2 linked regions of the Schizosaccharomyces pombe genome follow. The gene in region 2 interacts genetically with the main gene of each other region. Each region holds a gene or a part of one and is shown on either strand. Other genes may lie near its edges.

Region 1 (6,232 bases), on a different chromosome or scaffold from region 2:
AAACAACCCAGAATTCTGACTACTGCTATTACACCCAAAAAAAGGGTAATATGTAAGAAATATGGCAATAGGTTGAATTATGTGTTTACATACACACAGTACGTAGGCATTACTGTTTAGAGGCCAATTTAACAAAATACACCGATGCACTAAATAATTTAATGTAATTAAAGCTATCCTACAAGTATAAAGTTTTGTAAACAAATAACTAATAAACACTTGAAAAGAAACATTATGAAAACGGTATTAATGAAATCTTACTATAATTAATTTAATTTAATTTAGATTATCACTAACGAGCAATTTTCCAGAAAATAATATCCCCGGGTTCGACAGTATAATCTTTCCCTTTCGTTTTGCACTTTCCTACGCTTTTACAAGCATCTACTGATTTGTACTTTTCGAAATCAGAAAACTTTATAACTTCTCCTGCAACGAACTTCTTCTTGAAATCTGAATGTATTATACCGGCCGCGTCAGGCGCCTTAGAGCCGTCGGCAATAGTCCAAGCTTGAACGATTTTTTCACTAGCTGTGAAATAATGTATCAAATTAAGTGCAGAATATCCCGCACAAATAATTTCTGATAATTGAGAATTTTTGCCCAAACTAGCGCATTCCTGCGCCGCCTCTTCAGGCGTAAGCATGAATAGCTGTTCTTCAAACAGAACTGAGAGAGGTATCACTTGATCACCAAAACTATTTTTCTCAACCCATTCTTTGATTCCTTTTAATGCTTCTTGTTCATCGGAAAGATAATCGTCTTGATCCATATTTACCAGATACACCACCGGTTTGGCAGTGAGTAAGTTTAAAGAATTTAAAATGGGAATCTGCTCGTCATTCCATTCAGCTTTAGATATTTGACGGCCTTTTCCTAATACTACTTCTAATGCTCTTCGTGCCGTATCAAGAGCTTTTGCACATGTTTTGGGCGAGCGGCCCTCCTTTTTTAAATATGATTCTAAAAACTCTGCGTCTTTTAACAATAGCTCTTCCTGTATTATTTGTAGATCTCTTACTGGATCAACTGACTTTTCAACATGAGGAACTTGAGCCTCTGGAAATGCACGTACCAATTGAAACAAAGCATCGACGGATCTAATGTTTGAAAGAAACGCATTTCCAAGACCTTCTCCCTTGCTTGAATTCCTTGTCAACCCTGCAGTATCATAAATAGTTAATTGCGCTGGGATACGCGTTTTAGGCTGATAAATTTCACAAAGCAATTCATACTGTGAATCAAGTACAGGGGCTTTTGCATGAACGGGATCGATTGTAGCGAAAGGGTCTTATAAATTTGTTTTGTTAGACAACAGAAATACAAAATATTATATCACTTATAATCAAAACTAATACTTGACTAAAATATGACAACGTACAGTTAGCAGGATTTCCCAGGTTTGTCTTTGTAAGAATTTGACTATATTTATTGTTAATACCGATCAATGAAGCAAATTTATCAGTTAAACCCTTGAACAAACGTACAATAAGGTGGATTTCCCAATGTTGGGCATTCCTACAATGCCAATTTTCAAATGATTTCCAGGTCGTCCCAATCGTTGCCGAACAATAGAAATATCCTTTTGTTTTGAATAGTATCTCCTAGTACAATTTACAGAAGGTAGACACTTTTGCGTTGACAACACTATCCTTGTAACTATACCACGCATTTCTTAACCATTCGATGAATTAATCACAGAGTTGTTGCTAAGCTTTTTCACGCAGTAACCAAAACATTAATTGTTAATTCCTCCTTGAAATTTTTATACGATCAATAGCAGGATTTGTAAAATGGAGATACAGTTTGGAAATCAGAGGTGTAGGATGGTAAATTCTGGGGGTTTTCTAGCTACTGATGGTTCCCATCTGAAGGAAATGGAAACAGATGATGTTCTTGTTGAATTCTTAAATATAGAACATCAACTTTTTATTCGAAATATTCGAGCTATAGTTAAAATAGCCGATACAACGGTGCTTCCATCTGCTAGCGACAAAAAGCTTCTTTATTATGTTTTTGACGAAACGGTATTATCTTTTTTCTATTGATTAATTGAGTAAGCTAATTATATACTTTTTTAGAGAGTAAGAATCAACGATACTCCTGTAATTTTTTCAAAATTAGAGGAGGATAATGCAAACGTGAATGAAGGATCCAAAATGGGAGTTATGACTGTATGTGCATTCCCTCATTATACTATTGTCAAAAAGACACTAACCTATTTTCCAAGGTCCCTAATACCCCGCAGAAGCCAAATTTGCAGCAACAAAAATTTGAAGCGATCAATGCGAATGAAGATCAAATTGATTATTCAAGTAACTTGGAACAAAATTACAATTCTTTAATTAGGCAAGGATCTGACCAGGTCATTCCCCTTTCGCGATTCGCTTCAGAAAAAAGTGCTTTAGAATTGGAAAAGGAACTCTTTTCTGAGAGAATTCCAGAATCGCAATCTGCCGCTGAGCCTGTTCTTAAAGTTGAAAACTCTGAGAATGATTTGGACGAAAAATTGGTATTGGACGGTCAACATGTGGAAGGCGACCATAGTTCTGACACTGAAGAGGAGGTTGTTTCTGAAGATCAAAAACAGTTGAATAAGACCGACGATGAGTCAACATTTATTGAATCACACCAAATTTATATACAAGGAGAAACAAAATCTCCTTCTTCTGTCTCGCAATCATTGAGTGGAGACCCATCCTTGAAGCCAGCAGAGGTATTTGATAGAAAGCAAAGTGCTGAAATAAACTCACCAATTGAGAAGGATGTGAATCCACAGCAAAACATATCGGACAGCTCTATAAAGAACAATAGCATTCACAGTGATGAAGTAAATCCAGAGGTTAGGCCAGATTTAACCCCCTCCAACGAAAATGAAGAAAGTAAAAGAAGTGCGCCGGAAATCGCTCTCAAAGAGAAGGAATCCACATCCCAGGATGAAAGTAACAGAGAAGCAGAAGAGGCACCAATTTCCACTAATTATTCTTTCCCCTCATCATCTTTAGAGGATCAACCTGACAAGAATGTGCAGTCCTCGGCAGTTGAAAATAAAAACAAGCACACAAATCTGGTAACGTCGAGTTTCAACCTAACTAAACCGATGAAAAGTTTTATAAGGAGAAATGGTCTAAGGGTGCAAGAAAGTGTCACAGACGAAACCGACTTTGTCATCCTTGGTTCACCTCCACTTCGGAGGACACATAAGTTTTTACTGGCGACTTCTCTAGGTATACCACTTGTCTCTTCTCAATACTTGACAGACTGTATAAAATCAGGTAAAGTTTTAGATTTTCGTAGCTACAAATATAAAGACGAGGAAGCAGAAGCCAAGTGGGGATTTCGTTTGGACGATATCCACAGAAGAACGTGTTTCAATGGGAAAAGACTATACATTACAAAGGCAATTCGAGATTCGATGGTAGGGGATTCTATACACGGACTTTACTCAATTTTGGAAACATCTGGAGCTGAGGTAAGTGAAAGATGGAGAATATCTAGTTATGATAGGCTAATGATTTAAATAGATTGTTGGTGATATTAAAAGGGCTCAAGAGAAGGACACAATTATACTTGCTCAACCTGACAACGATCAAGAAGGACGGAATATGAGTGCTACTGGTTTAAATGTGTACAAGATTGAACTAGTAGCTTTATCCATCTTGCGTGATCGAATTGATTTTGATGAATTTTTGATTGACTATGATGCTGACAGTCCCACCAAAGTAATTGGAAAAAGAAATGTCTCAAAGGCATCCCGAACCGGGCAAGGAAGAAAACGATCCTCTCGTTCATCTTGGAACAAACCAAGTGCAAAGGAGCAAAGAACATAAAATTAAAGGTAAAGAGGACATCGTTTACTTTGTCTATTATTTATTTATAGAAGTATATTTGCAAACATATATTCTTGAGTTTCTTCTATGAAGGAGGACCATTAGAAATTATACAAAAATAGAATTTTAATAATGATATTAAATAAACGAGCGTATTTAAGGGCGAAGGATAAAAAACCTACACGGTTATTTAATGAAATATGCGATCTGTTAGTTGATTGTTAAAATCTTGAACCAATAAATTCAAGATACTCAACATAAATGAATCGATTTCAATACGCTTTTTTTTCTATTTTCCAGATAATGTATGAAAAAAAATAGTTTGACCAATTCCCGAAATTTATAATTATTACATCTCAATTAAAAAAACAAATAAAGAAATAAATAAAATGATATGAAATGAAGTACAAAAGGTTAATAAAAATAAATAACAAATTTCTACACGATTAAAAGATATAAAAGGTAAAAATCTTTATGAGTAGAAAAACGCATATACTTATTTGCGGTTTTAAGAGGAAGTAAAAGGAGGTAATTCCGAAACATAAAAATAAAGGGGCCTCATTATAGTGCTTCTTTTTAGTCTTGCAATTTTATTTTATTTTTTGAAAAGGTTTAGTTGTTTGTTTATTGACTACAAAACACAGCAAATCCACTCGTCATATCAGATCAAGCATACCGCATATCTAACAAATGATTCTGCAATGCATTGCACTTCACTGTATAAAATTTATTCATAAAATGCGCAATATGTATATCAGGCACTTATAGGTTTACCCAAATATGCTGTTAAATGGAATACACAGTTTTTTGCGCCATCTTACCATTTATAAAGCGTGAATTTAGAGACCCGCACATGCTTCCGCACACGGCCAAATGAGCGCTAAACCTCGGACGAGAAAGTGACCTGTGTGCTGTTTCTATTTATCGCATCGCTACGATGACATCATAGTGTGGTGAAAGCACCAGCTGTTATAAGCAGACCAACGAACCAACTCACTGTTCAACAATATTAATCAAGTTCTATTTCTTATACAAGCAATTTGGAAAATAAATCAAGTGTTAAATACATTCTTTGCTTGAGTGTATTTTATATTTTTTAGTGTTCTGTCCTTGCAATCGAAAAAAGCGCATTGACAGGTTTCGAAGCGAACAAGGAAATATCGGTTTTACTCTTGAAACAGAAATTTAACTGTATGTGAAAATTTTTTTTGGAGTTTCATTTACTAATAAAGAAGAATAGTGTGGTATTAAAAAAAATACGCAAAATATTGACTACATATTTGTTGAAATAAATTGGCGAAGGATTTATACGTATTTTATATTTATTTTTCCTCTTTTCAACACCATTATAGCGTTGCATACAATTTTCACTGCTGACAACCTTTTAAATTTTTTTTACTCTTTATTTTTTCCAGCCCCTTGTAATTAGGAAATCTAGCTTTCTCCTTCATCATGCCCCAATTTTTCAGGACCCAGCCTTTGACCGATAGGACTACAAGTCATGGTTTTGCTGAAGTTTCTTCCGAAGACCATTGTTATTGTGTTTGGCTCGTACCTGCCATTTCCTCTGATATTGAGTTGAGATATCGAACGTTTGTCGACTGGGCTGTGTGTCACAAAGTCGACTTTGAAGAAATGCAGTTACCTACCGCTCCTCACATTACTTTAGCTCGTGGTATCAAGCTGAAACCAAATCAATCGTTTAAGAGTGTTTTGCAATATATCGCTTCCAAGCGCAAGTCTCCTTTGAACATAAAGTTCGGCAAAGTCGCTATTGGGGATTCCTTCTACAAACGTGTATATATTCAGGTAGAGAAAACTCCCGGCTTGGAAGAATTGCAAAATGCTGCTTATGACTTGGCCGATACTTCTGATCCTTTTAATGTCATCGAACATCCCTATATGCCTGTCATTTATGCAAAGAGTATTTGCTCTGACTACTCTACTTCCGACCCCATTGAGACGATTTCTTCAATCGGTCAAGCCAGTTGGGGAAAGGCCTGTTTTCTTGAACTCATTCAATTAAACAAGGCCAACCATCAAGGATACGTCTGTGATCGTATTGAATTTACCGTCTAATCATTTGCTTTCCAATCTTTTTTTTTTTTTTCTTATTGATACTTTGCAAATATACCTAAACAAAAAGAGATATAGCAGGATGATACCTAGTTATTTCGCTTTAGTATTTTAATGAAGATTTAAAAAGCCTTTTTGTAACTTTATTTATTTTTATCCCTTAATGGTTTTATTAAGGTGAAAACAATCTCGCTTAAATGGATTATTCAAACCCTTAATTTTTTTTGCTTCATGTATTAACAATTTCTACCTTTATAGTATCTTTTTCACTAACTTAAATGCATCTGGTGATCACCTTTCCTGCTTTACTTTTAAACTTTGACTAA
Region 2 (16,589 bases):
TATTTAATAAAATGAGATTTTAGTTTCTTTAAAGGTACAGTAATAGTGTTTGAAATAAAGTAACATGCTACTTAAAGCAACAGATTTTGCAACATGCTAACAGTTTGAAGACCTCTTAATATTACTTATGCACTGAGTATATTTTAATTTATTTGAATCTGGAAAGGTTCAACGTCCTTTCGCAAAATAGTATCCCAACGCTTTTTTTAGTCTCAAATTTCAGAGATTGCAGCTTCAAGAATAGATGAACACTTGGCAAAGGAAGTTTATTCTATATTTGAAATTTAAGACAACACACATTATTATTATTTAAAAAATTATTCTTGATGTTTTTGGAATTCAAAGTTCACGAAGTATAAGAAAAACCATCATAACAAAAATCGTTGTTGCACTCGCAATTACCAATATACTTGCAATAATAAAATGGATCCATTTGAGGGCCGCATGACATTTCTACAGCTTTTGGGAAAATTGAATGCATCGCAATTCTCTCAAATTAAACCCGCGCAATTTGCAATTAAGCATCTAGACTTGGAAGAAGACTTATATTCATGTATATGGGAGGAACTAGAGTCAGGTTCGTTCAATACAAGAGTGAATATCATGTACTTTGTGGACACACTCTGTGAGATGTGCTTAAAAAATGGCCTTACAGGTGGATATCTTAATATGATTAGTAGAGATATCTGTAAGCTAGTCCAGAACGTAGCTCCTATAGGAGCTGCTGGAGCTGCTAACGCTCCAGAGGTTAGAAAAGTACTCCAGTCTTTGCATGAAAAGAAGGTAATCGATGATAATCAATATAAAGATGCTATGGCTACGGTAGAAGCCCATGAACAAGCGAGCAAGTCAGGTGATACCAGTACTTCAGGAGCCATTTCAAAAAACGACATTCTTAAGAGGATTGAAGAAGACAGAGAGCGACACAAAAGAATGCGTGAAAACATTTGGGCTATTTCAGAACCAGAGTTAGAAGCGGAAATTGCATGGAACACTACCCAAGGAATTACTGAAAGCGATTTGGAATCCCTAAAGGATGAATACGAAAAGTTTAATGAATGTCTTCATGCAACTTCCTGAACCGAAGAGCGAAAACATAGAGTGTAACCCAAATAGAATAAAAACATATAATTAACTAATAATTTTGGAGTATTTTATACATTACCTAATATCTGGTTTTTTTAGAGATGATGAATTTTCCCTCCGTAGCTTAGTTTTTATGGGAATCCAAGAAAGTAAATCGTGTCACAATGTCAAAGCAATAACAAAAAGGTTGCCCAAAGAATTTGAATGGCGGAAAAGCATAGAAATGAAATTTTTTATAAACAACCCAGTTTATTCGAGGACTACTTTACAAGAAAGTTTCTCTAACTTCGATTTTATAGCTTCAGCATCCTCTTTCAAAATATTTTCTTTCAAAACCTTTGGAGCACTTTCAACGAATTTCTTTGCGTCCACAAGAGATAATCCCAAAAGAGACTTCACCTCTTTGATCACCTTGGCTTTCGAACCAGCATCAAACGATTCGAGTTTCAAATTCCAGGTGGTTTTTTCCTCTTTCTTTTCCTCAGGAGCTTTCTCTTCAGAAGGAGCGGCTGAAGCTACTGCTGGAGCCACTGCTGCCATCGGAGCTATTTCAGCAATGTTTAACTTCTCCTTTAATTGCTTTACAAGTTCAGACGTCTCTAACAATGATAGAGAGCTTATTTTGTCAACCATTTCCCCAATTTGGGCATTATTGTTTTGTACAGATGCGGCAGCTCGAAATGATCGCGTGTTTACCAACGATCTTGCCCAGTTCTTACTGGAAGATAAAGCACGTCTTTTAAAGTTAGTATAAATTTGTTAATTAAAAATAATTACAATCTTACAGATTTCTTGTTTGGCGTGATGCGATGCGAAACATGCTGTATTTTAAAATTATACTTGAGGTGAAGTAAGGTGCAAGTGAGATGGGGGTTGGCAAGTTAAGTATAGTAACTACAACTTTTAGGTGATCATTCATCAAATATCTAAAATATGTTCAATGGATCTTATTAATTTTTCATTAGTAATAATTAGAAAATAAACTAACCTCGTAGTAAAAAATGCTCTAGAATTATTAAGTGTTCAACAGTTAGTTGAAGAGAACAAATAAATCTAACCCTTTATTTTTATGCTTTTATCTCCCTGTTAATTATCAGGCATATAACAAATAAAACAAAAATGCATAATGTATTGAAATATTGCAATAAATCCACAAATTGATGGTGGTATTACATATTAGAAAAAAAATTAACAATGAGATAATTACTTTATGCTGCTCCGGCATGCTTTGTCAGTAGACTTCATCCCACGACCATAGTACCAACCGCCTTCAATCAAATTCCTTTCATCACGTTCCCATTTAGACATTTTGGTATTCATGTCTTTAGGATCTAAATCTAGTAATGTTATGTGATCTTTACCAATGTATAAAGTCACATCTCGAAGGGTCATCGCTAACGCAACATCAGTACGAGAGTATTGCTCTTGTAGGTCACGAAGCTTCCGTAGTATACCAGACTGAAACAATCTCATTGCGATATCAGGACTCACAAATCCTTGAAGACAGCACAAAAACTTGGGCCAATTGTTGAAATCAAGCTGTAGAGGACAAAAACCAACGGGTCTACCACGCATACGGCTAAGGGCACACGTTCGACAAACAACCCAGTCAGGTGGAGCGGCAGGGGACTGAGTCAACCATTTTGGTTTCATTTCAATTCCATCTTTGAGATCTTTCATTACCAAACAGTATTGCTCATTTAAATTTAAATAAATACCAGAAGCATTTTGGGCCGCCAGCAAAAAATCCCTAGTAACTGGCTGCAAAAAAACCTCAATTAAAAAGCTTTCCATTCCAGCAAACAAAGGATAAATTACATTTTGATAGTATTCATAAACTTGTTCTGTAGTAAAAACCTGTCCTCGACGTCGAAGACGAATTACCTTGTCTTGAAAGTAAGGATTTTTACCAACATACTCAAACACCACATTCGCACTTCCTGAGGCAAGGTATGCCCATTCAGAAATCACCAGGGATTTACCGGTGGAGGAATGATTGGAGATAACGGATGTTGGTGAATAAGGTGCAGGGGATTTAAAAAGCGGATTCGATATAATTGGAACTTGAAAATTACTACTAGCAACCGATTCATCTTGGGACTCTACACCAGAAGAAAGGGCTTTCATGGATGGAGGACGCGACATAATTGGAGTTGAAGGAGTATGTGTGTCAACGGGAGAATTTGTAACAGAAGAGCTAGCGGTACTAGCCATAGGCGAAAGGCTTACCTGAGACGCTGAAGTATGCAAATTCTGAGCGATGAGAGAATTCATGGCATCAATTTTTCCAGCTTCCCACTCTCTATTTGATAAAACATCACCAGATTTTGGAAGTTCTACGGGAGGACGGTTGTTGTTTACGGCAATTAAGGAAATGCTTTCAGCAGCCTGGCAAACTGAGGAAAACTCAACGAGCCACGTTTGGGGAATATCGTCTTGAAAACAATCCCAAGGGCGAACAATGTTGTGCATTTTTCGAAACATTTGAAGTTGCAAGCAGTAAAAATGCTTCATAAGTTGTCCAAAAAAAACACGACTTTTTGCAATAAGAGTTGGGAAGGACAAAGTTAAATGCTTCTGAAGGTCATCCAATTCACCATTGACACGGACAAGCTGGCTTTGTAATGCTTTAATTTTACTTTTTTTGGTTTCAGGATCAGGCAATTCGTAAACAACCAATAATTCTTTTTGAATTTTTTCAAGTTCTTTTACTTTTTTATCTCTTCTTTTAATCATTTCAACTGCCTTCTTTACATAGCCTTTGACCTCCTTGCAAGGAGCAATAACTATGACATGGAAATTTTGCAGGGCAAGCAAGACTTCACGACGTTGACGTTCCAAGGCCTTGTTCCAATCGACCAATGTTCCGACAGAAGCAGCAGGTTGTTTTTCAGGAGGTAACTGTCTGTACAAAGAAATCCAAGAGGCAGTGACGGAGGGAGCTATACAAACCATGCATCTCCAAGCATCATAGAAGAGTCGAGAGTTATCGATTGTAGAACGAATCGCTTTATCTAATTTGTGGATCTGATCACTCCACTGCTCAATTTGTTGATCAGAAGCAGCAATATCTAATTGTTTAGGTTCTTTTTTAGACGTAGTCTTTGTATAATCTTTTGTAAATTAAATTAGCACACTATACAAATTCAAAGGAAGTAAGAAGACATACTTTTTAGAGGCATTTCAAATTAATAGAATAAATAGGATGCAAAAAAGAAAAGAAGAAGGGTAGAAAATGAGAATAGACCAAAATTCTGAACGAAATAGTTGTAAGAGAAGGAAAATATAACCAACTGGCTGATGAGTAAGTAAGTAAATGTGAATTGAAACAAGAAGCTCTAGGATAATTTTCTAGTCTAATAAGGCGGGAATTTTTGATGCTCAGCAAGGATTTGGCGGTTTGACAGGGAAGGTAAATCTTGGGGATATTCCCAAAGGAAATCAGAGGTTCTCGTATTATGGTATTAAATGTAAAAATAAGTTAAAGAGCAGGTGCTTTGAGCATCCACAGAGAATTCCAACTCCAATTCGAAAAAAATAACCCCTTTCGAGGCGTTGATTAATGGTGAAAATAACAAATGACTGATGTTAGGTCAGCTTTCACTTACTGATCCTATTTATGAATCTCGTAATCCGTATTTACGAAACTCAAGAAAAGAACAATTGCGACTATAGTAGTAAGAGTTGAAGTTGGAAATGCGAATTCATTAGCTAATTAATTGATTTGTGTTGCAGAGTATGTATAGTAAAAGTTACTAGTAGTTTGAAATAGCTGCACAAAATATGTGTCTGCCAGGTGGTAGTGCGTTCTGGTGATACAAGTCTTGAAATTGCGACATGATTTGATAACTTTATATACTCGCAAGATGGCCAAACTAACTAACCGGGCGATTTGAAAATGTGAAGTTTGGTACCAAATCGAGTTTTTCCGCTTATGTTTGGCAAATTCTTCAGCTAGTTCAAATCGCCGGTGCGAGAAATAATTCCGATCCGTTAGGCGATAAAAAGCGATGCGCCTATATCATAATTTTCTAAGAAAGTCATTTTAACAATTTTAAAGTTATCATGCTAAAATCGCTGACCAAAAAATCCGAGGCTGGTCGAGATTGATGACTTCGCAAACCGAAAGGTTCAGAAAAGAATTAGCCATATGGTGTTGCATTGGTTTGTTGAATAAATCATCTAAAAAGAAGCCGATATCTGTAACTTGTTTGAAAAATAGCGTTGTATTATGAGTGAGAATGAGAACGTTTCAGAGATCAGTGACTGTTGAGAAATTTTCCATCGACGGATCAACATTAAAATCAATATGTTTTATACATTAGTCGAAAGGAGTCTATCTTTTGGAAATTTAATTTCGGAAGAGAATGTTGACTCACATTAAGTGTAGTAAAGATAGCAACATTAGCAGGAATGGTAATTACGGACTCAACGACTTGCGGAAAAAGTTTTTTTTCTCCAAATACACATCAATGTTTTCCCCGGCCGTTACCTTTTGAATATTAAATTCTAGAAAACACACTTAGAAGTCTATAGCGCAAAAATCATATCGAAGGCATAATATAATAATATTCGAAAATAACAGATGTATTAACTGAGAACAAAAAAGGAAAGTTTTATGTTACATTGTATGAACGAGAAGCCAAGGTTTTTAGGAAAACGTTGAAATAAATAAAAGCCGTGAGCTTCATATCTAATTTGAAAATAAATGTCAGACAACTATGTTCTTAAACAGTAAAATCGTAGCGGCAGAGAGGTCTTTGTAAACAAATCTCATGAACTTGTAGTCGATCCGCCGGCAGATATATCGTCTTCGACTTCGGTAGACAAATTCAGTCCGTGCATATTTCTGATTTCTTCTTTGAGGATAGAATTGACTAGACGGTGCTGCGCCAAAGTGTTCTTCCCTTGGAAGGCTTTGCTTTTAATTGCAACTTGATACATGCTGCCACATCCTCCAGAAACGTCGATAACTCTCAAAGAACTAGGTGAAAGCTTCTCAGTGAGTATGTCCTTTATCCTTCGTTCTCCGGGTGTCGAATAAAATCGTTTAGTAATGATCAAGGGTTTCTGAGGATTTTTCAAAAATAATGGGCTTAAAAGCCTACCGATGGCTAACTTCATATTTAAACTTGAATATTAGAAGGAAGTAAATTAAACTGGTATCTCAATAATGATAAAACGGGATTTAGGAAGTTTTTTGTATCTGCATTCGCCTATTGGGTTGCTAGTATAGTTTAGTTAACTTCATCAGTCCCGGTCCAACCTACTGCTATTTCTACGACCCATTTGTCTAGGTGGATTTCATTCGAAGCAAAGTCGCTCTTTATTAGTATAACTTACAAAGATATAATAACTAGAAAACTGTGAAAACTTTTAAGGGGACCGTCCGAGCTTGGTGTATATTTAATTACAACGTTCAGACTTTCGTGGATTCTTTTATTTAAAACGAGAATAATTAAATTTCGCTAATTAGTCGATTTCCTAATAAGTGATTGTGTTGAATTGTTGTGTTCAAAAACATTTTTGTATTTGCCAACGCAGAAATATATTACATATTTGGATAAACTATCGAGTTCCTAACCTTTATTTTCTGAGCAAACTCATATAAACCTATAATTTATACATCAAGATTACTCATCGTTGTTCAACTGGAAAGGTACTTTTAACATTGAATGTTTCATGACATTTTGATACCTGCCTAACGCCTATGAAAATGCATAATGCGCCAGACGAATACTCATCTTGAAACGTTTTCTCTTTTTGACGATGTTTGTACTTGTTTGCTAGTTGACAAGGTGTTTTATTGGTCCCAAATTCATAAAGTACGAAAATTAGTGGATCGATCAATTGAGCGAATGGAAAGCTGTTCTATTATAAATATTATAACCAAATATATTATAGAGCAAACAGACCTTGACCAAGCGGCAAAAAATATTCTGCAATTTCGTGAACTTGATCCATTGTTGCGGAGATTGTCAAGCACTTCTTTACTAGCATTTACTCGACATCTGAAGTACTACCTCTCATTATATCTACCATCATGCAAATTTGAAATTTGTTCAACAAACCAATACTTTTCTTCCTCAAAGCCTGAAGCTTGCGTAATAGCGCGTGAATCAATTAATGCTGGAGAAGATATTACAGACCTCTGTGGAACAATTATTAAGTTATCTCCTAAAGAAGAGCGGAATATAGGAATTGGAAAAGACTTTAGCATCCTTCATTCAAGCCGCTTAGATTCGATGTGTCTATTTTTGGGCCCTGCACGATTCGTTAATCATGACTGCAATGCTAACTGTCGATTTAACACTTCTGGTAAGCGCATTTGGCTGCGCTGTGTAAGAGACATAAAACCAGGTGAAGAAATTACTACCTTTTATTCTTCTAATTACTTTGGCCTTGAAAATTGTGAATGCCTTTGTGTCTCATGTGAACGAATGGGCATCAATGGTTTTAAAAAGCTTTTCCATACTAGTGCTACTTCAACAAGTTGTTCTTCCAAGAGTAGTTCTGATGTTTCCGATCTGTCTTCTTTGCCGCAGTCAAATCGTTACGTGATTTCCGAGGAAGATCGTAGCTTCTTGAATATTTGGGATTCAGGTGGTGAACTGAGTGATGCGTCCAGTTCTGATTTGGATGAGGAGTTTTCACTATTTATACCAAGGCACAAAAAAAGGGTGTGGTCTCGAGAAAAAAGGCTTTTGTCTGAGATGGCCATAACGAACCATAGTCCGTTACTGAATGTGGATGATTATCGAAAATTTCGTGAAGATCTATGGAAAAAAAGACATGGAAAAAGAAAGGTTTACCAATGCTCAAACTGTAGCCAGACATTTATTAATGAAGACATTCAAAATTCGAGTGCATTTTGTCCGAAATGTATTAGACATTCTAAACTCTTTTCATTACCTTGGCCTTGTAGACATAAAGTTAATCGTGAATTGAAACTAGAGAAAGAAAAGGAAATTAATACAAAAAGGAACTTAGTTACCAGCTCGCATAGTATGTCTCTGCGACACAAAAAAGCTGTTGATTATCAAAGTTAGTTGACTAGACTATTTATATTAAGATTGGAAATTTTGGTTAATTTAGGTCATTGTTAGTTGGACTTTAAAGCATTTATTTAAAAAAAAAAAACTAAAATCTTGCACTATTCAGGGTATATCCGAAGGTGAACAATGTACATTTGAATCATTCCGTTCGCTAATTCAATCTATTGTTGATTTTTTCATGGGATTCACCACCTCTATTAACTAAATATTTGAATGCTTTTAAATTCAATAAATTAACGTTCAATGTATTGACTTGTTTTAATATACTACGTTTTTATAACTGAGGGAAATTTTGGTTGTGTAATATGTCACTATATAAGCTGTGCCCGGTTGGCCTCACAAACTTTACTAGCATCCACAAGTTTTTTAAACTTGACCCCCTTTTCCTTTAACTTTATCAGACATATCCATAATGGAAGGGGAAAATGATCCTTTATTAGGATCTTATAAGCCTAAACGAAGAAGATCGAGTCTTGTTTACGGTTTGTCAAGACCCCAATTTCTTGACACCGCAGCTTCGGAAGTTTCACCTATTCCACAAGAAAGACCCACTACTTCCTTAAGAAAGCCTACACCTAGGGTACAAAGACCTGCGACTGATGTATCATATGGCGCTTTAGAGGAAACAGAAGAAAACGAATCTATTGCGAGTGGCCTTTCAGTACAAGAAGACTTTAATAGCAAGGCATGGTGGAAAGAATTAACATTACTTATTAAATTCGCAACCCCTGTTGTATTAACGTCTTTACTTCAGTATGGTGAGGTGGTTACTACTGTTTTCTCTTTGGGCCACTTGGGTAAAACAGAGCTTGCGGCTGCAAGTCTGTCTAACATGACTGCCACAATTACGGCTTTTGCTATTTATCAGGGGATTGTATCTGCTTTGGATACCGTTGGAACTCAAAGTTTCGGATCTGGAAATTACGAAATGGTGGGTTTACATTTACAGAGGATTCTGGCCATATTGTTGTTGATACAATTCCCTATTTTCTTGATATGGTGGAAAATAGAGGGCATACTTTTATTCCTTAGACAGGATCCTCTTACTTGTATGTTTGCGGCAAAGTATATGCGAGTAATGATGTTGGCTAGTCCGGCATACGCATTATTTGAAGCACTAAAACGTTTCCTTCAGGTGCAAGGTATATTTCATCCTGTAACATACATTTTAGCAATTGTTGTACCTATTAATATTTTTCTTAATTACCTTTTTGTGTGGAGTCCCTGGGTTGGTTTCGGTTTTCTAGGTGCACCGGTCGCTGTAGCATTAACGCTATGGAGTGCTTGTGCTGTTCTAATTATCTATATTATGAAGGTAAACGGACGACAAGCATGGGGAGGTTTTAGTAGAGAAGCATTAAAAAATTGGGGCCCGTTATGTCGATTGGCTGTTCCTGGTGTAATTATGATTTGCAGTGAGTACTGGGCTTTTGAACTCGTTACTTTCGCATCGGGCGTGTTGGGTACCACTGAATTAGCCTCTATGTCTGTTTTGTCTACTACCTCGACCCTTTCTTATAATTTGGCTTTCGGTGTCGCTGCTGCAGCTGCCACAAGAGTAGGAAATTTAATTGGTGCTGGAAATACGAAACTCGCTAAGCTAGCTACGCACGTTTCTATCAATTTAGGTGCTGCAATTGGTGTTATCATTGCTGTAATCCTTTTTTTAACTCGCAACACATGGACTTACATTTTTACGTCTGATAAAGATGTCGTCGCATTGGTTGCAACTATCATTCCCCTTGTTGCACTCATTAATATTGCCGATAATACACAATGTGTAGCTGGAGGCCTTCTTCGGGGACAAGGAAGACAAAGGATTGGTGGGGTAGTAAATTTCATCGCATATTATTTATTGGGTTTGCCTGTTGCCATAATCCTTTGCTTCAAGCTAGATTGGGGGCTGTACGGTTTATGGATTGGAATTGGAGCTGCAATTCTAATTATTGCTGGAGTAGAAACTTGGTGCTCATTGCATGTCAATTGGGACCATTTAGTTGAACTTGCTAATCGTCAGTTTGATGAGGCTTAAAAGTTGATACGGACAAGTTAATGATTATTTAAATATGTATTGTGGTTTGTCATAAATTGATATATTTGAAGAGATATGTTCGGTTTATGATACCATGGTTACGACTACTAACAGTTGATTGATAAAAGTATTCGAGTCGGTACTTTTTCCAGTCTTCAAGATTTGGCCATGTTTTGGCCTATCCTAAAAATTAAGTTTACGAAAATTGCAGTGCTTTAAACTCTCATATTTATGAAGCTTATAAAAGTAAATTAAATTAATGGTAATTTGGAATCTTTTTGGGTGATTAATATATAAAATACCACATATGCTAGCTAGCAACGTTGGGCGGTAGCATTCAATTAAATATTATTTCTTTTTAAGACTTACTTAAAGAATTAATTTAAGTTTGAATAAATATGTAAATCATCTTGCAGATGCGAGTATATTAATTGCCATAAATAATTCTGTTCGCAGTGAGAATAGTTACCGAGTACAAATCGCTCGCTCAGAATTATTAAACGACTTAATATCAAAAGTTAATAAAATATGTCTCTGGTTTCATATCCTCGATCAGAATCCGAAAGCGATATTGAAGAAGAAACACCATTAGCTTCTAAAAGTTTCGATCCTACTTTGTTTCAGCATGCGCGCAGAAAATTGTCGGTTGACAGCACTAAAAAGTCACCTAAACGCCTGAAACGGCAAGTTGATTTACAGAAATCTTCTTTTAATGATAAAACTTTTAATGAATCTGATGTTATCTCTAATGAACGATTTAAATCTAATGATTTACTTGAACTTTTGCCTGCCCCAAAAAATCAAGCTGAATTAGCTCCAAAGTCATCTAAAAGATCGGACCTTGATTTAAATGAAAACTATTTATTACCTAATAACTCTGTAAGCGATTTAACCTCTACTGGATCCTCCGAAACTGTCAAGAAATCAACGTATTCAGAAAAGTCTGGTAACGTTTCGTTATTTAATATCGTAGGATCAGAGTCAAAGCAAGCCTCTTTAGTAGATTCCGATCAGAAACCTTACCAACCAATTTTGATAAAACCTAAAGCTAGAGCAAATCCTCCGAAATTGAGGAATCAACCCGAGAACGATTTCATTTCTATTGCTAATCACTCAGTACATTCAAATGCAGAGGACATAAACATTATCAATGAAGATTACATTGAAATTGGACGCCACCGAAAAGAGAAGGGACGAATTATAGACGTTGATATCAACAAACTTCCAAAACCGACCCAAGAAGCATTGCCAAGCGCCCCTACTATTAAAAGTGTTGCACCTGGTCGTCATCAACTGTCTTCTCTTGTTGAAATGGCTATCAGTCAAAAAGACAACTTTGAAGCTTATTTTGAGCAGCAACGATCAAACAAAAAGGCATCTTCTCAAAAGTATGGGTTTTAGCTTTAAGTAAATGTTACGCCCCGATAGTTAGTTTTAGGTTTTAACTGCTCGTGTATTTGTAAATTAAAAGCTGTTTATCAACAGATTCATTTTATGTATTTTTTTTTAGTTTCTGCGAAAATAGCAGACAACAAAATATGATTTTACTTATTTTATTTTACATACTAATGACTTTATTCATCGCTATTCATAAGCATACTGATAATACAATATTATCTTTGCAAGTATGTCCCAGCTATAATTCATATTTGCAATGCAACTAGCCTTTTTTTGTTAATTTTAAAAAGGAAACTTGGCTTTAATCTTCGATTTATGGTATATCCAGAGTTTGAATTGTTTAACCATATAATCAGTGTTCTCACTGGGACTACCACTTATCATAGCGTCTACCGATTTTGTGTGACCTATGCCTACTCCACATGACTGAGGTGAAGAAGGATTTCAATAAATTATAAGAGGTTTTCGTGCTTTTAGCATCAATTTTAATAGAATTTGAATTAATATTTGCTATAAAGAAGAAGGCTCGTCTTTTGTTGTACTTCAGGGTGCTTATATGATACTGTGTCCACATTTTAACACTCGATAAGGTATTATAGTCTGTAAAGTCTAATTAAGCTATCCTGACGATGAAAGAGCAAGAGTTCTCATATAGAGAAGCAAAAGATGTGTCTCTTGACTCTAAAGGCTTAGAAAACAGTTTTCTTTCTTCTCCAAATCGAGAAAAAACACCCCTTTTTTTTGAGGGTAACAGTAATGAAACCTCGGGATATGATCAAACAAAAAACTTTACACATGGAGATGGCGATATGTCCCTTGGAAACCTTTCGGAACTAAACGTTGCGACAGATCTTTTAGAGTCACTTGATTTAAGAAGCATGTATATGCATGGCTATGGGCACCTCGATTCATCTTTTTCTTCTCAACATAGTCCTGATAATCGTAAAAGAATGAGTAGTACATCAGTGTTTAAGAGGATTAATTCCGAGGAAGAAGGTCGCATTCCTAGTTTGACGTACTCGGCAGGAACTATGAACTCGACAAGTTCTTCTACTGCGTCTTTGAAAGGTGCTGATATTGTTGCAGATTATGAAACATTTAATCCGGATCAAAATTTAGCTGAATTATCCTTTGACCGCTCCAAATCGTCTCGCAAGAGGGCGGTAGAAGTAGCAGAATTTAGTCGAGCTAAGACAATGTCTCCGTTGGAATACACTGTTCAACATCCATATCAATCCCATAATGAACTGTCTACAAACCCAGCCCGAGCAAGAGCTGGAAGCGTTCCCAACTTGGCTCGCATACCATCTGATGTCAAGCCCGTACCTCCAGCACATCTATCTGCATCTTCTACTGTAGGTCCAAGGATTCTTCCTAGTCTTCCCAAAGATACCACAGAGGACAATCCAGCGTTGGAAAGGGTCGAAACGACGGCGTCTCTCGATATGGATTATAAACCTTTAGAACCTTTAGCTCCCATTCAGGAAGCCCCTGTTGAAGATACTTCAGAGCCTTTTTCTTCAGTCCCAGAGGCCACCTTAGACGACTCAGATATCTCTACAGAAAGTCTTCGTAAAAAGGTTTTGGCCAAGATGGAAGCAAAACGGATTTCCAGTGGATCTTCCTATGCTAGTACACTTAGGAAAGTTTATGATTTCTCTGAGCTTTCCCTTCCCACCAACGGTAAAGACTATGATGAGTTATACCTTCAATCTTCCCGTAATTCAGAACCTGAGATTTCTACTATTATCAATGATTCTTTACAACAGGAAAATATGGATGAGGATATTAGTGCCACTTCAATTCCGAAATCTCAGGCCGCCTATGGTCATGGATCTGTAACGTATCATGAAGTCCCCAGATACAATCTAACTTCTGCTTCCGTGGGATATAGTATATCTAGTCAACGTGGTCGTATAAAAAGCAGTTCTACCATTGACAATTTGAGTGCTATTTTAAGCTCTGAAGATTTACGTCACCCATCAATGCAACCCGTACCAGGAACGAAGCGTACTTATAGTAATTATTGTGAAAATGAGCCAAACAAGTCTAGCCAAAGTTTAGTCAGTTCTGAGTCCCATAACGTCGAAGGATGGAATTATTCGGAAACTGGTACAGTAGGTTTTTACGACCCTAGTGCCGAGATATCCGCCAGCATTGATGAACTTAGGCAGTCTACGCCTGTAGCCAGAGATAGCGAACTTTTAAGTCGTGCACATTCCTTTGATTTGAATCGCCTTGATCTTCCAAGTCAGGATAAGAGTACGTCTTACGAAGTCCCGAATGGTACTGAAAATCAATCACCACGTCCTGTTACTTCTCTTGGATTTGTGAATGAAACATTTTTTGAAGAGAAACCAAAGGCGCCCTTGCCACTTGGTCGCTTTTATATACATTTGAACAGCATTTTGAATATTTCGATAAGTGAAGTCCATTCACCTATCAAGATAATAGTTAATACGCCTACGCAAAATATGCAGCTTCCTTGGCAAGCTGTTAATGGGAATAATAGGTTGGACCATGATTTTGCTTTTCATGTTGACGATAACTTTAAAGTGAGTTTTATGTTTCTTGACATCCCTATTGAGGACAAGTCCAACGGTTCGAAAGGAGTATCTGCTACAAAAGACGTTTCAAACGGTAAGCCTGCTGAAACGAAATCCAAAGCTAGGAAATTTTTTGACAAGCTTTTCAACCGACGCAAAAAGAGAAAACTCAACAAGGCTGCTGCAGTTGAGAATTCAAAGGCTAAGAAGTCAGTGGTTATCAAGAAAGTCTCGGGTACTGCTACGTTAAATTTGGGTAATGTCAAAGACAGTTGTTTTGGAAAGGCTTTCAACGTAGAAATACCCATCATTTCCAGAGGCTTCTTGGAAGCGATTCCTGTAAAAATAAACTCTATAGGGAAACGTACACTTGGTAATCTAACTTTGACTTGTTTGTATATTCCTGAGCTTTCGGTTCCAGAGCAGGAATTGCCATTTACCTTAGAACAAGCTACGATGGACTTGCGACACGTTAGAAGTAACTATCTATATAATGAGGGATACTTGTATAGATTGGAAGATTCATCTATTCGAAGACGTTTTGTCGTTTTACGCTCAAAGCAGCTGAATTTTTATGCTGAAAAAGGTGGGCAATATTTGGATACTTTTCAGCTTTCTAAGACAGTAGTTTCAATCCCAATGGTAAATTTTTCAGAGGCAGTTTCAAACCTCGGTCTAGTAGCTGGAATATTGGCTACATCTGTTGATAGAAGGCATGTTCAGTTGTTTGCGGACTCTAAAAAGGTTTGCCAAAAATGGCTTCAGGTGATGAATTCACGCTCGTTTGCTCTAGATAGGGGTACTGAGAAATTATGGTTACAAGAATACGTGAATTTTATGGCTTAATATCTGAATTTATGAATACTAATCGTCTTAATGTATTTTTTGAATAATTTTTACTTATCGGATTTACTAAATGAGGGAGTTGAACTGAAATTATATAACTACTGAATTAATACTTATAGATCATTTTTCATTTTTAATCTGAATAATTAATCAACTTTTGGTTTTTTGAATATACTCTATAATGAGTAAAGTAATATAAAGGTGTTTTGTGTTGGCTAAATTTACATTACCTATATTTTGCCGTACGCACTCTAAATTGTTACAATAATATAGGGGTCAAGCAACTACTCAAATCACATTATTTAAAGGAGATGCAAAAACAAGATGATTTTTCATTTAAATATTGGACTATCAAAGTCCAACGGGGGTCAATTTTAAAAAGCCATGAGATGGAGAACCTTCAAAGTACATTGGGTTTTCCACCTCCTGAGATGACCTTTGGGAATAATTACATCTCAATTGAATACAAGAATCAGCCTGTAGTTGGATTTTTTACTGAAGATGCTCTTAAAATGGTTGGTACCAAACCTGAAGATGTAATGCAAGTTTCTTTTGCAAAAGACTGGGCCAAATCCAGAATTAAGCCCGGAGAAGAATACCCTGTGATTTACCCATTTGATTGGACTTATTATACTGATTATCAGGGAACTATACAACGTCCAAATGCAAAATTCATTGAAATTGATCAGGTAATACCTGTTCAAAAAATACTTAACGCAGGACAAAATTTATGGTTCAATGAGATAATTCTTTTCGAAGATGAGTTAGCAGATAATGGAAAATCAATGTTTGATGTGAGAGCTCGAGTTGTTCAGGGTCATTTAATATTGTTAGCACGCCTTGTCGTACGTTTAGACAAGGTAAATGTTCGATTGAATGAGACGAGGATATATATTGATTTGTTGAATGATTTTCTCTTGAAGGACTGCCGTAAAAAGCAAGCTACTTACGACAAAATTATTAAACAAATACCTGTGGGGGGAGACAAAGCTGCATTGCTAGATGATAACAATTGGTTAAGTGAGCGCCTTGATACCGTTGACCATAAAATCTATAAATTGAATTTTTGATGCTAAAATGATTCGCTAATGGCAGACATGAGAATTTAGAACTTTTGTCAACGAATGAGTGTTGAAGCAATTTACAAGTTTATTACGTTTAGTTCATGGTAATATTTATAATCATTTTCAACTAAGAGGTTATTAATTTAGGTTTTCTAATTGAGAAAGCAAAATAAATAGATACAATCTTTGGTACGATTAAACGGCGAAGATATACTACTGAAACTGCAAACAAATTTAAAATGGTCCAGTAAATTTTAGAGTATACTTAATTAGGAAGAATGATGGCCTCGTAATATTGATCGTTCGTTATAACATTGTATTTGGCAATCAACCTGTCACAACCTCTCTTCCCCTTTATATTGTACGACATTAATCGATCCGTTTTTTATTTCAACCCAACTCCTACGTATTTATTTGCAGGTAATAATTAATTTTATTAATTAAGAAAAGATTATCAAAAGATCCTTATCGTCATTCAGTAATGAGTCGCTGCTGTTTAAATTTGCCATTGAGACCAGCATTTGTTAAGCAGCCGGTATGGGGGAAGAGTATATACGGTCCC

What was found.
Region 1: mutations in set9 (region 2) and mdb1 impair growth when combined (synthetic growth defect), as found in Schizosaccharomyces pombe (one study listed by BioGRID).

The regions. Positions count from the first base shown.
Region 1 is NC_003424.3:2,880,782-2,887,013, reverse strand, and holds mdb1 (BRCT domain protein Mdb1), read left to right. Parts: upstream 1-1,672; 5' UTR 1,673-1,793; coding exon 1,794-2,027; exon of another isoform or gene 2,028-2,081; coding exon 2,082-2,174; exon of another isoform or gene 2,175-2,230; coding exon 2,231-3,472; intron 3,473-3,524; coding exon 3,525-3,830; 3' UTR 3,831-4,221; downstream 4,222-6,232. Other genes in the region: SPOM_SPACUNK4.13C (NTPase Ylf2), read right to left, coding at 293-1,290, 1,382-1,422, 1,488-1,672; SPOM_SPACUNK4.15 (2',3'-cyclic-nucleotide 3'-phosphodiesterase), read left to right, coding at 5,283-5,909. UniProt on the Schizosaccharomyces pombe protein: Involved in DNA damage response (DDR) mediated through its interaction with phosphorylated H2A proteins hta1 and hta2 which mark the discrete foci of DNA damage.
Region 2 is NC_003421.2:1,145,827-1,162,415, reverse strand, and holds set9 (histone lysine H4-K20 methyltransferase Set9), read left to right. Parts: upstream 1-6,354; 5' UTR 6,355-6,809; coding exon 6,810-8,135; 3' UTR 8,136-8,502; downstream 8,503-16,589. Other genes in the region: Lsk1 complex gamma subunit lsg1, read left to right, coding at 424-1,080; mrpl12 (mitochondrial 54S ribosomal protein bL12m), read right to left, coding at 1,336-1,822, 1,872-1,906; ipk1 (inositol 1,3,4,5,6-pentakisphosphate (IP5) kinase), read right to left, coding at 2,290-4,199, 4,256-4,268; protein fra3, read right to left, coding at 5,860-6,210; SPOM_SPCC4B3.13 (MatE family transporter), read left to right, coding at 8,554-10,173; protein Cwf20, read left to right, coding at 10,702-11,574; anillin-related medial ring protein Mid1, read left to right, coding at 12,201-14,963; TIP41 type 2a phosphatase regulator Tip41, read left to right, coding at 15,275-16,033; ubiquinol cytochrome-c reductase assembly protein Cbp3, read left to right, coding at 16,509-16,589. UniProt on the Schizosaccharomyces pombe protein: Histone methyltransferase that specifically trimethylates 'Lys-20' of histone H4 to form H4K20me3.